Linked DNA regions of Saccharomyces cerevisiae S288C. The gene in region 3 interacts genetically with the main gene of each other region. Each region holds a gene or a part of one and is shown on either strand. Other genes may lie near its edges.

Evidence for each region.
Region 1: mutations in YMR321C (region 3) and TPO1 together harm fitness more than expected from each alone (negative genetic interaction), as found in Saccharomyces cerevisiae (one large-scale study listed by BioGRID).
Region 2: mutations in YMR321C (region 3) and ERP6 together harm fitness more than expected from each alone (negative genetic interaction), as found in Saccharomyces cerevisiae (one large-scale study listed by BioGRID).
Region 4: mutations in YMR321C (region 3) and PHM6 together harm fitness more than expected from each alone (negative genetic interaction), as found in Saccharomyces cerevisiae (one large-scale study listed by BioGRID).

Annotation. Positions count from the first base shown.
Region 1 is NC_001144.5:82,919-87,105, forward strand, and holds TPO1 (polyamine transporter TPO1), read left to right. Parts: upstream 1-1,885; coding exon 1,886-3,646; downstream 3,647-4,187. Other genes in the region: FRA1 (aminopeptidase P), read left to right, coding at 1-792.
Region 2 is NC_001139.9:492,702-495,780, reverse strand, and holds ERP6 (Erp6p), read right to left. Parts: upstream 1,265-3,079; coding exon 614-1,264; downstream 1-613. Other genes in the region: ERG26 (sterol-4-alpha-carboxylate 3-dehydrogenase (decarboxylating)), read left to right, coding at 1-328; CDH1 (Cdh1p), read left to right, coding at 1,607-3,079.
Region 3 is NC_001145.3:917,045-919,783, reverse strand, and holds YMR321C (uncharacterized protein), read left to right. Parts: upstream 1-1,887; coding exon 1,888-2,205; downstream 2,206-2,739. Other genes in the region: SNO4 (glutathione-independent methylglyoxalase family protein), read left to right, coding at 705-1,418; YMR320W (uncharacterized protein), read right to left, coding at 2,733-2,739.
Region 4 is NC_001136.10:1,021,425-1,023,933, reverse strand, and holds PHM6 (Phm6p), read left to right. Parts: upstream 1-1,612; coding exon 1,613-1,927; downstream 1,928-2,509. Other genes in the region: MRX10 (Mrx10p), read left to right, coding at 1-423; exosome non-catalytic core subunit RRP45, read right to left, coding at 2,270-2,509.

The DNA.
Region 1 (4,187 bases), on a different chromosome or scaffold from region 3:
GTGGGGCGCGAGGCACTGATAGATGAATATCGTGCCGCAGAAAAATTGACCGAGATTAGGAAAACCCAAAGGAACTTCATGGGCAATTCCTTCGAAACAATATCCTCCACAGGTAGTAACGCCGCCATCATACATTATTCGCCGCCCGTAGAGAACTCTTCGATGATTGATCCTACCAAGATATATCTTTGCGACTCCGGTTCGCAATTCTTGGAGGGTACAACTGATATAACAAGAACAATTCACTTAACAAAGCCAACCAAAGAAGAAATGGATAATTACACACTGGTACTTAAAGGTGGCTTAGCCCTAGAGAGGTTGATTTTTCCCGAAAACACTCCCGGGTTTAATATCGACGCCATCGCTAGGCAGTTTTTATGGTCCCGCGGGTTAGATTACAAACATGGCACAGGCCATGGTATCGGATCATTTTTAAACGTTCACGAAGGACCCATGGGTGTCGGCTTTAGGCCACATCTGATGAATTTCCCCTTAAGAGCGGGTAACATAATAAGTAACGAACCAGGTTATTATAAGGATGGTGAGTATGGTATCAGGATTGAAAGCGACATGTTAATCAAGAAGGCCACTGAGAAGGGTAACTTCTTGAAATTCGAAAACATGACTGTGGTTCCCTATTGCAGGAAGTTGATCAATACTAAGTTACTAAACGAAGAAGAAAAAACACAGATTAACGAGTACCACGCAAGGGTATGGAGGACAATAGTGCATTTTCTGCAGCCTCAGAGTATTTCATACAAGTGGCTGAAAAGAGAAACAAGCCCACTATGACTTCGAGGCGAGCGGGGCGCAATACAATTAATGTTAGTATTTATTCTAAGTAGTTTCTTTCTTTTTATTTAATTTGAGTGATAACAATAACAACAATAATGACTAAAAGGTGAAAATTGAAAACATTACCTTCATTTTTTTACGGCCGGAGAGGGGTAGGTACACTTAACCCCGAGCGCTTTTAGTGCCAAAAAGAGTTAATGTGCGTAGTCGGATTTTAAACGACCATGCATGTACAGCCCCCTAGTGATTTATACTGATGCCTCATCAAGAAATTTTTTCATCCAGGGTCCCTGCTCGGCGAACCTTTCCGCAAGAGTCACAAAAATCAATCTTATAACCAGGCACCAGTAGTACTGCCAAGCTTGGACTACATAGCCAACGTAAAGACAAGGAGTCTGATTTAGTATTTCTTTTTTGCCAGCCAGTATTTTCTGCGCAGGATAGATTATTTTAAGAGCCGAGAATTCCTTATGCGGGCCCGGTCACAACGGATTATAGGTTCCGCCAGACCCCGTTGCTTTGGTTCCATGGAGCAGGAGCAGGATTTTCCGTGGAAAGAGAAGCACCGAGCGAAAAGCGGATACGGAAGGCGGATGCGGAAACGGATGCGGACGCGGAAGGAAGGAAGGAAGCAAACCCTTCCGTCTATGTCGCTATGAAGCCGTCTCACAGTAGAGCCATTCGAGATTTCCGTCCGTCGGTACACAGAAATCTTCGTATCGGGAGTTTTACTTTAAAAGGAAACGATCGTAGGAATTCCCTAAAGAAAAAGGAAGAAAAATTTAACGTTGAACATTGTCATTTTCTTTTTTTTTTTTATGTGTGCAGAATATACTATCAAGTAATGTGTTCTATATATAAAGGGTACCTCATTTGATCTTGATGTTTCTTTCTGCTCGTATGCCTTGAGTCACCAGTTTTCAAAAATAATCTTGGTCTATAGAAGAGAAAAATCCAATAATCTGAAATTGGTTCTTCGCACCCTTGCAACGAGATCATATACTAAATATCGGGAACTCTTTATTTCTGGATCTTTTATCAGTCACTTTTTTTTTTAGTCAAAGAAGCAAGAGAAAACTAGACAGAGACAATGTCGGATCATTCTCCCATTTCTAATAAGGAAAATCATCTGCTGCCATCAGACTCGTCAAGAAGCTCATCCAGCGATATGCATTCGACGGGCACCACGGGAACCACAGGCGTCGAACCTGTAGATTTCACCGGTGAAGGTGCCAAATACACAACTGCTACGGAGGGCAATGGTGGTGCAGATTTAGCGATTCAAAGAACGACGACTATGAATTCTGCTGCAGAATCAGAGGTTAATATCACGAGAAGATTAACTAAAATCCTTACTGGGTCTGTTAACGAGCCTGACCGTGTAGAGGTTGATTATACCAATTGTGCGCCCATGGGTGGTGACAGACCTTACCCTCCATCGTTGCCGAGCAGAGACCTGTACGAGGTTACTTTTGATGGTCCTAACGACCCACTACATCCATTTAACTGGCCCATGAAGAAGAAAGTGCTGCTATGTCTGGTCTTATGTCTGGATTCTATTGCCATTGCTATGTGTTCTTCCATTTTTGCCTCTGCAGTGCCGCAAATCTGCGAGATATACCACGTCATCGAAGTTGTCGCCATTTTGGGTATCACGCTTTTTGTTCTTGGGTTTGCGGCCTCACCGGTTATCTATGCTCCTCTTTCTGAATTGTACGGTAGAAAGGGTGTTCTGGTTTTATCTGCGTTTGGATTTGCCCTTTTCCAATTTGCTGTCGCTACTGCTGAGAACCTGCAAACTATTTTCATATGTAGATTCTTTGGTGGTTTTATCGGGGCAGCACCCATGGCCGTCGTCCCCGCCGCGTTTGCCGACATGTTTGATACTAATGTTAGAGGTAAAGCCATTGCGCTATTTTCTCTAGGTGTTTTTGTAGGCCCCATTTTATCGCCTGTCATGGGTTCTTATATCGCACAAAGAACTACCTGGAGATGGTTAGAATATGTTGTCGGTTGTTTCGCTTCCGCAGTTTTCGTTGCCATCGTATTGTTCTTTGAAGAAACACATCACCCTACCATTTTGGTTAACAAGGCCAAACAGATGAGAAAGCAAAGTAATAACTGGGGTATTCATGCTGCTCATGAAGACGTGGAGCTATCCATCAAAGACATTGTCCAAAAAACTGTGACGAGGCCTATCATTATGCTTTTCGTGGAACCATTGCTACTATTCGTGACTATTTACAACTCTTTTGTCTACGGTATCTTGTATTTGTTACTGGAAGCCTACCCACTTGTCTTTGTGGAGGGTTATGGGTTTACTGAAAACGGTGAGTTGCCATACATCGCCTTGATTATCGGTATGATGGTGTGTGCTGCTTTCATTTGGTATATGGACAACGATTATTTGAAAAGATGTAGAGCCAAGGGGAAATTAGTGCCCGAGGCCAGATTGTACGCAATGGTCATTGCAGGTACCGTTTTCCCTATTGGTATCTTATGGTTCTGTTGGACGGGCTACTATCCTCACAAGATTCATTGGATGGTCCCCACAGTAGGAGGGGCCTTCATCGGGTTCGGTTTAATGGGTATTTTCTTGCCATGTTTAAACTATATCATTGAATCGTATCTATTGTTGGCAGCTTCTGCCGTCGCAGCAAACACTTTCATGAGGTCTGCATTTGGTGCATGCTTCCCATTGTTTGCAGGATATATGTTCCGTGGCATGGGTATCGGTTGGGCTGGTTTGTTATTAGGTCTATTTGCCGCTGCGATGATTCCCGTGCCTTTACTATTCTTAAAATATGGTGAATCTATCAGAAAGAAATCCAAGTATGCTTACGCCGCTTAAGAAAAAGAAAAGCAGAAATCATGCTCTTTCTATATTTGCATTTTTTTATTTCATTGTTATTACTCACCCTGCCCCACGCTCAAAGGGCTCGATAACGACATAGCATTATAGACACTGTGCAGCGTAAAGCTGACATATAAAGAAATTACAAAAAAAAATTAAAAAAAAAAAAAAAAACAATCAAAAAAGACACACAACTACAGAACAAAGGAAATCTTTTTCTATGCACAAGCACAAGAGTACTTAGAGAGTAGTGATATCCCCTTTTTTTTCTACTATTTTTTTTTTTCCCATTTTTTTCCTCCAAGACTCCTCTTATGTGGTTGTTATGTATAGCCCATAGTTACTAAATAAAACACTAATTAATGATTAATAATCCCTCTCTAATAAGAAATAGATAAAAGCTATTGTTCTTCTCATCGCCGGTTCTCGGCGTTGTCCGTACCCTTGGCCGAAACTCGGGCGGGGGCTTATTAGTCATACCCTCAGATTTCATTGGTCAGATAACAGTCACCCGGTAAATGCCCGTTTAATGACTTCT
Region 2 (3,079 bases), on a different chromosome or scaffold from region 3:
TGTCTCGGGTGAAACTTTTTTCATTACCAATGATACCCCCACCTATTTTTGGGCCTTGGCCCGTACTGTGTGGAAGGCAGATGGTCATATTGATAAACATGTTATTGTTTTGAAAAGGCCAGTTGCAATTTGTGCAGGTTATCTTTCAGAATGGGTATCCAAGATGCTGGGTAAAGAGCCAGGTTTGACTCCATTCAGAGTCAAGATTGTGTGTGCATACCGTTATCACAACATTGCTAAGGCCAAAAAGTTGCTAGGCTACACACCAAGAGTTGGTATTGAAGAAGGAATTAACAAAACGTTGGCCTGGATGGACGAAGGTTTGTAATGGCAATCGTTAGGAGCTTTTTGATCCGATTATCGAAAGATAGTATGTTGAAATAGCATATCTGATACGCACCGTATATATTTATTCTGTCTTTATAGATGAATAATAAGAATTGAAACACCTAAAACATCTTGATGACTAGGTTAGTATATATATGTATACACTCATTTAATGACTACACTATGAAGCGTCGGGGTAATGCATGTAAATAAATAGAAATAAATCATTGAAACAACGAAATTCTCATGTATGCCTGCTAAGGATTCAATTTTTTGATATGTACGGTCATAATACTTTCTGCTTAACAAAAAACGAGCGTAAACTTTTCATTTGCCATACACAAATTATAATGAGAAGAGTAACTTGAGTTACCGTCCACCACATTGCGCGAGAATTCACAGACTCTGATATGTCTCTAAAGGATTCTTCACGTTCTCTCATCAGTTGTTGCTCTCTCCTGATATCCACGATCTTAGAATTCAATATACTGACTTTTCCGTGCAAACTTTCCAAGGTTTCTTTTCTTTGCATGTCCAACATTGCTTCAAAACCGACTTCAAATTCGATTTCTAACTTTGTTTTGGTTTTCCCTACCCAGTTATTTACCCTAGACTGTAAACAGATCTTATATTCTCCAGATTCCAAAGCTAGAAAGCTGAAGTCACCGGAAGGAGAGCCCTGTTGGTGGACTACCCTATGATTATTATCAAAGACTTCTTCCACATCTATGACAATGCCATAGTCATTATAACTGGGAAGCGCATAATCTGCCAACTTATCATCGTAAACTTCCAAATTGTAAGAACCTTTTAAAAGGGTGTCTTTGGATAGTTCCTTCAGGAAGCATTTTCTGTCTCCACCATAACCATAGAAGTAAAACGCGGAAACTCTGAATGGCAATAAAACGAATGCCAGGAAGATGTAGTGTGATAACATTGGCAAATCTAGATCCTTTCAGATTGAGGCGATAAGGAAGAAAGCGCCAACAATCTGTTCACAACCTCACCAATAAAGTCTATCAGTAGAGATTTTAACTATACACCCCATATCTTGTTGTGTCGATATTGGTTTCTTACCCGAAGAACGAGTTTCTAATTCCACGACGTTTTTTTATCCCACACAAAATGGTTTTTTGCACCGCTTCTAGCATTAATATTGCGATGAAGAAGAACCTCATGGATTTACAATACCTTAGACTTGGCCATCTCAAACTTGGTTCATCCTCTAACTCCGATTTTTGTCACCCTTCCTTCTAGTCTTCATCCTAAATTTAGTTGCATGTCCACAAACCTGAACCCATTCATGAATAATACGCCTTCCTCCTCCCCACTCAAGGGTTCTGAAAGTAAGAGGGTATCGAAAAGGCCAATATCTAGTTCTTCGTCCGCCTCACTATTATCATCTCCCTCCAGGCGATCGAGGCCGTCTACAGTATATGGTGATAGGTATATTCCTTCCCGAACAGATATAGATTTCAATTCCATCGTTTCCATCAGTAGTATGGCAAGCGTTCCAGCCCTTAATCCATCGAGTACGGAAGATCAAGTAGAATACCAAAAGGAAAGACAGGCACATGAAACTTATAATACTTTGCTGAAGAATGAGCTTTTTGGCGAGATGCTAAGCAAGGATACGGTAGGCTCAGAGAGCAGTATAGATCGCATTAAGAATACGAGACCATCTACTAGAGGCAATGTGCACGCAGAAAATACAACTAGACATGGTTATGAACTGGAACGAGTATCAACTCCACCTCCTGAAGCTGCTGGTTTAGAGGAATTTTCGCCACATTCCACGCCAGTCACTCCTCGACGTCTTTTTACATCACAGCAAGATGAAATCACGAGACCCTCAAGCAACTCAGTTAGGGGCGCCAGCCTGTTGACTTATCAACAACGTAAAGGTAGAAGACTATCTGCGGCCTCTTTGTTACAATCTCAATTTTTTGATTCCATGTCGCCAGTTAGGCCGGATTCCAAACAGCTCCTATTATCACCGGGGAAGCAATTTAGACAAATAGCTAAAGTTCCCTATAGAGTTTTAGATGCCCCATCATTAGCAGACGATTTTTACTACAGCTTGATAGATTGGTCAAGTACTGATGTTTTGGCAGTTGCTCTTGGAAAATCGATTTTTTTAACCGATAATAACACTGGCGACGTTGTTCACTTATGCGACACGGAAAACGAATACACAAGCTTAAGCTGGATTGGAGCAGGCTCTCATCTGGCAGTAGGTCAAGCAAATGGACTTGTAGAAATTTATGACGTAATGAAAAGAAAATGTATTAGGACGTTGTCGGGACATATTGACAGAGTAGCGTGTTTATCTTGGAATAATCATGTTTTGACGTCTGGGAGTAGAGATCATCGAATACTGCATAGGGATGTTAGGATGCCAGATCCCTTTTTTGAAACTATAGAATCGCACACTCAGGAAGTCTGTGGCCTAAAGTGGAATGTAGCGGACAACAAACTTGCCTCAGGTGGTAACGATAACGTCGTCCATGTTTACGAAGGAACGTCGAAATCTCCAATCTTGACGTTTGACGAACATAAGGCTGCTGTTAAGGCAATGGCCTGGTCTCCTCATAAACGAGGTGTGCTAGCTACCGGTGGTGGTACAGCAGATAGAAGACTAAAAATCTGGAACGTTAATACGTCAATAAAGATGAGTGATATAGATAGCGGCTCTCAAATATGTAATATGGTATGGTCAAAGAATACTAACGAGCTTGTGACATCACATGGT
Region 3 (2,739 bases):
CCCTTATCCAGTTCATCGAAACTTTTTTTTCAACTTGTGGATCTGTGACATTGTCTACAAGAGCCGATTTTGATGTCTGAACAAAAAACAACCTTACCTTTCCAGATGCAACTTTCCAGGAGAGCTGCGTGAGTTTCAAATATTTAACATGTCGGAGAAAGCTCCCAAGTACTTCCTTGTTCTTGTCATTTTTTCCTTATCTCCATCCTTTAAGGAAGCTATTTCCATTATGCGATTCTATAAATCCGAGCATGCGAGTATTTCTTTTCTTGGCGCGGAGTCGCTGATGACGCAATAGGCACATTCATGAACATCCAGGACTGGTAATCTTCTCGTCTTAAAAAAAATCCAACCACCAGTAAAGAAACTCTTGGGTAAAATGCAGTATCTGAAATATTGCATAGCTGCAAATGAAGATATTCAGTATCAGCATAGGTATTTTCATGAAGGATAGGTAAAAAGAAAGAAAAGAAAAATATCTTTTTGACTGTCATTCTTGCAATTATCACAATTAGGGGACTTTAAAACCGATACTTGATATATGAGCACAGTCAAGGGGCCGGTTCTTGAGATTTTAATGGAAAACAAGAAAGTTGCACATACAGGTCTGCTTTTCTTTGCTTGCTCCAGACAACGATACTTAGAACTAAAACATATTTCTAGAACACTTTTCTCCTTCATTCAAAAAGAAAACTGGCCTTGCAATGACTCCAAAAAGAGCGCTAATATCTCTTACTTCATACCACGGTCCCTTCTATAAAGATGGTGCGAAAACAGGCGTTTTTGTAGTTGAGATTTTGCGGTCGTTCGATACTTTCGAAAAGCATGGTTTCGAAGTGGACTTCGTTTCTGAGACTGGTGGATTTGGCTGGGATGAACATTACTTGCCAAAGAGCTTTATTGGTGGCGAAGATAAGATGAACTTTGAAACGAAAAATTCCGCCTTCAATAAGGCGTTAGCGAGGATCAAGACCGCAAATGAAGTCAACGCCAGCGACTATAAAATATTCTTTGCATCTGCTGGACATGGTGCTCTATTTGACTATCCCAAAGCTAAAAATCTGCAAGATATTGCATCCAAGATATATGCCAATGGGGGTGTGATCGCCGCCATCTGTCATGGACCGCTCCTTTTCGATGGATTAATAGATATCAAAACAACAAGACCATTAATCGAAGGCAAAGCTATAACAGGTTTCCCACTCGAGGGTGAAATCGCCCTGGGAGTTGACGACATCTTGAGGAGCAGAAAATTGACAACGGTTGAACGCGTTGCAAACAAGAATAGAGCCAAGTACTTGGCGCCAATTCATCCCTGGGATGACTACTCTATTACCGATGGAAAGCTAGTTACGGGTGTTAACGCAAATTCTTCCTATTCGACCACAATTAGAGCTATAAACGCATTATATAGCTGAAACAAAAGACAAGGGAATTGTTGAAGGGGAGGCTTCTAATGGCCTTCAGTTTCTGTGAAGAGAAGGCTAACAGCTCAATGGTTCGAAAGGTAAAGAAAACGGCAGATCGGTAGCACTCGATTTTGCTAGAATGGAAATCATATAGAGAACAATTGAATAGTAGGCCTTGGTTTTTAGTGTTGTACTCATCATGGTCATATGTGACATAGGTAATGTACATATATATAAAAAAAAAAAAAAAAAAAGCAATGCTGTGAGATCATTCGTTACTTACGAAATACGCAGATTGCAATTTGAAATAAGCTGTGTTTCCTTTTTTCTTTTTTTTTTTTGGCTTGTTATATACAACTTTTTTCTATTTCTGTTCTTTTAGGAGTAATTAATTGGTACATGGGAAATAAATATGAATTATATTAAATGAAGTAAAAGTAAAAGAAAACGGGGAAATTTATCGTTTCGTAGTAAATAGATGATGGACTTGGGCGACAAAATAAATCCTAACCTCTCGTTCTTAGGAATCAACTGCGTCAGCTTCAACCAATCACCCGACATTCTTGAGTCTCTACATCAAGCACTGCCAAATATGGCCTTGCTTGCTTATCCAAACAGTGGTGAAGTTTATGATACTGAAAAGAAGATATGGTTGCCAAATAGCGATAAGCTGAACAGTTGGGATACGGTTGTTAAACAGTACATTAGCAGCGGTGCCCGTATCATTGGTGGTTGTTGCAGAACAAGTCCAAAAGACATCCAAGAGATTTCTGCAGCCGTCAAGAAATACACGTAAATGCCTTTTTAAAGAAACTGGAAAATTCTTAACATTATACATATGCTAGGAAGCAGCATGTTACACTAAATACATTTTATAAACAGCACAAGAAGTATTGTTAATTAATTATCCTTGCCATGTTTTTTTAGAGTCACAAATGCTTTTCCGTACTTCGCCGACAAAAAACAGAGTAAACATCATATGTTTTATAATCTAAAGGAATCAACTAACAGTTCATCAGATGGGAATTTGGGAGAGTGCACAAGTAAGATGGGGTAAAAGAAGATAAATCTCCACCGGATCTAAACCTTTGCCAATAATCCTCACATGGTGGAGCTACAATCTCGCCTTCTCCGACCAGTCACGATTAATTAAATTGCCTAAAATTAACTTTTATATTCCCATACAGTCGATATTGCTAGCTCAAAAGGCGTTATATTCGAAAGTTGTATCCAAATATTCCATCTAATGTATTATTGGCAAAAGGATTCCGTGATCTGTGTTCCCAAGAACAATCATAACCTTGAAAAATTATTCGCCAATCATTACATG
Region 4 (2,509 bases), on a different chromosome or scaffold from region 3:
AAGACCAGAACAATAACAGAAAATATTTCTAAGGGAACAAAGTTAAATCTAAGGTCAAGTGATGCATTAAAGTCAATAGGCCGCCTTTTTCTAATTAGAGGAAAGTTGAACCTCTATTCAGAACTAATTGAGACCCCTGATCTTTATTGGAGTGAACCTCAATTGGAAGAGATTTTTAAAAATGTTTCGAGGTATTTGGACATAGGCCCAAGAATAAATATTCTGAACAGCAAGCTGGACTATTCTACGGACGAGTGTCGAGCCCTCATCTCTCTTTTAAACGAGAGAAACAGCACTTTTTTGGAATGGATAATTATATACCTGATTGCTTTCGAACTGTGCTTTGAAATTTATCATTTCTACCAGAAATATTCTTCCTACTGCTCAGAACCCACGAATGATGATCTAGATGCTACAAAGTAAGAGATTTTTTTGTAAATAAGAGTTACTTTTGTATGTTGTATTACGGGCTCGAGTAATACCGGAGTGTCTTGACAATCCTGATATAAACAGTCTTAGGGAAGTAACCAGTTGTCAAAACGGTTTATCAGATTAATTCACGGAATGTTACTTATCTTATGTATTATATAAAATATGAATCATACTAAGTGGTGGAAGCGCGGAATCTCGGATCTAAACTGATTGTTCAAGCATTTATACGTTTGGGTAGTTCAGCTAGGGAAGGCCGTGTTTTATCTCATGTTGTTCGTTTTGTTATAAGGTTGTTTCATATGTGTTTTATGAACGTTTAGGATGACGTATTGTCATACTGACATATCTCATTTTGAGATACAACATTGTATATACACAGAACAATGAGAAAAAGTTCCACTCAGTAATTAATATTCTTTTACCCAACGTTTCCTTATAACGTTGTTATTGAAAAAGGGATATTATATGAATCCACGCACCTGATCTGGCTCTTAGAAGCGACTAAATAACTACATATGTAAGAGATCTGCTCCTGCCACAAGAGAAAGCGTTTTTTAGCGATAAAATCAAGATTTCTCATTTCCTAATTGCTTATGACGGACGACCTTCATTATTAGAACGTGCAAATGTGCATTAGCGTGTAATGATACATACGCAAATTACAATAAAAAATAAACATGTAAATAAATGAGCCCACTTAAAATAATATGACATATATTAGTTTGCACTGTCATGAAAACCCTGATAACGTGGTGTCATTTTTATTACACCCGTATATTCATCAGCCCGTCCTAACCTATCCGAACGACGCAGGATGGCCACTAACATCGCAAATAGTGTTATTACTTTTTCCATTTGGATGTTCTGCCCTATAATGTTACGCAGTTCCGAGCTTCGCTGACACGTGGGAGGTGGGATATAATATTTGCACGGGTTCTTTTTTGTGTCGTCTGGCGGAAAAAAATAGACTCGTCTCTTGTATGGCGCGCTAGTAATTTATTATTTGCGATGCGCAGAACCTTATCTTTTGTTTTCTATTCAGTATAAAACTTGAACGATTTCACCAGATGTTTGTACACTTTGATTCATTGCAGCCCAAATAGAATTTTTGTCAACTGCCATACCAAACTTGTTGAACTAAAAAAAAACGACAGCAATTGTTTTTCAACCTGACACCAAGATGGAAGATACCTCGAGGTGCATCGATGATGTACTGAAAATAGGACAACAGGAGAAGGAAATAAGACAGGCAGAGTTTTCTGACGCACAAGGGGAGAGAGAGGAGGTTAAGTGTATTGATTACACAGTAGATTTGGAAGCAGGTCTTCCGCGCCACGAGAGTAGTGGAAAAAGTAATACCCTCAAACAGTGTTATAACGCCGTTCTAGGGTTTCTCGAGGAACTCATCATCGTCATTATTATTGTGTTGCTGTTGTACAGTTTGACAATGGTAGGTCTTTTTTATGTGATGACGATGACGAAGTTTTTGTTTTAATAATAAGAATAATGGGATTTGTTTTCTTTCAAGATTTTTCTTTTGGATAGTACATGCCTTCAGAAATTAAGCAGGGAGGCAAAAGATAATATTTTCTCATATGCATTTATAGCCGAGCCTTTTTTCTTCGCAGTATGCGTTTGTTTTATAGTAATTTAATGATTTTTATGTTTTTGAACACCGCAGTCAAGAAAACAGTAGGAAAAAAACTGCGGGCGTCTTTCATACTGCCTTTAGTAGTAAGTGTAATTTTACAATCTATACGTACCGATATATATACATATATTAATGCATGCATGTATATGTATAAGCGTTGCTTTTATTTCAGTTTTTTCGTTAATATTAGATCTCGCGGGCATTTTCAGATGTAAGCATGGCTGCATACTTGTTTCTCTTTTCTGAATCCTCCTTTAAAAGCTGCAGTATTTGATCAGTTATTTTCTCAATAATGCTGTAAGCCTCGTGACAACATTTCATTAGCGTCAACGCATCCATTGGTAAACCACCCGCTTTGGAAACTTGTACCACTTCACGGTTTTTGTTTAGCGTAACCGTCAATACACCATCTCGCAGTAGTTCCTC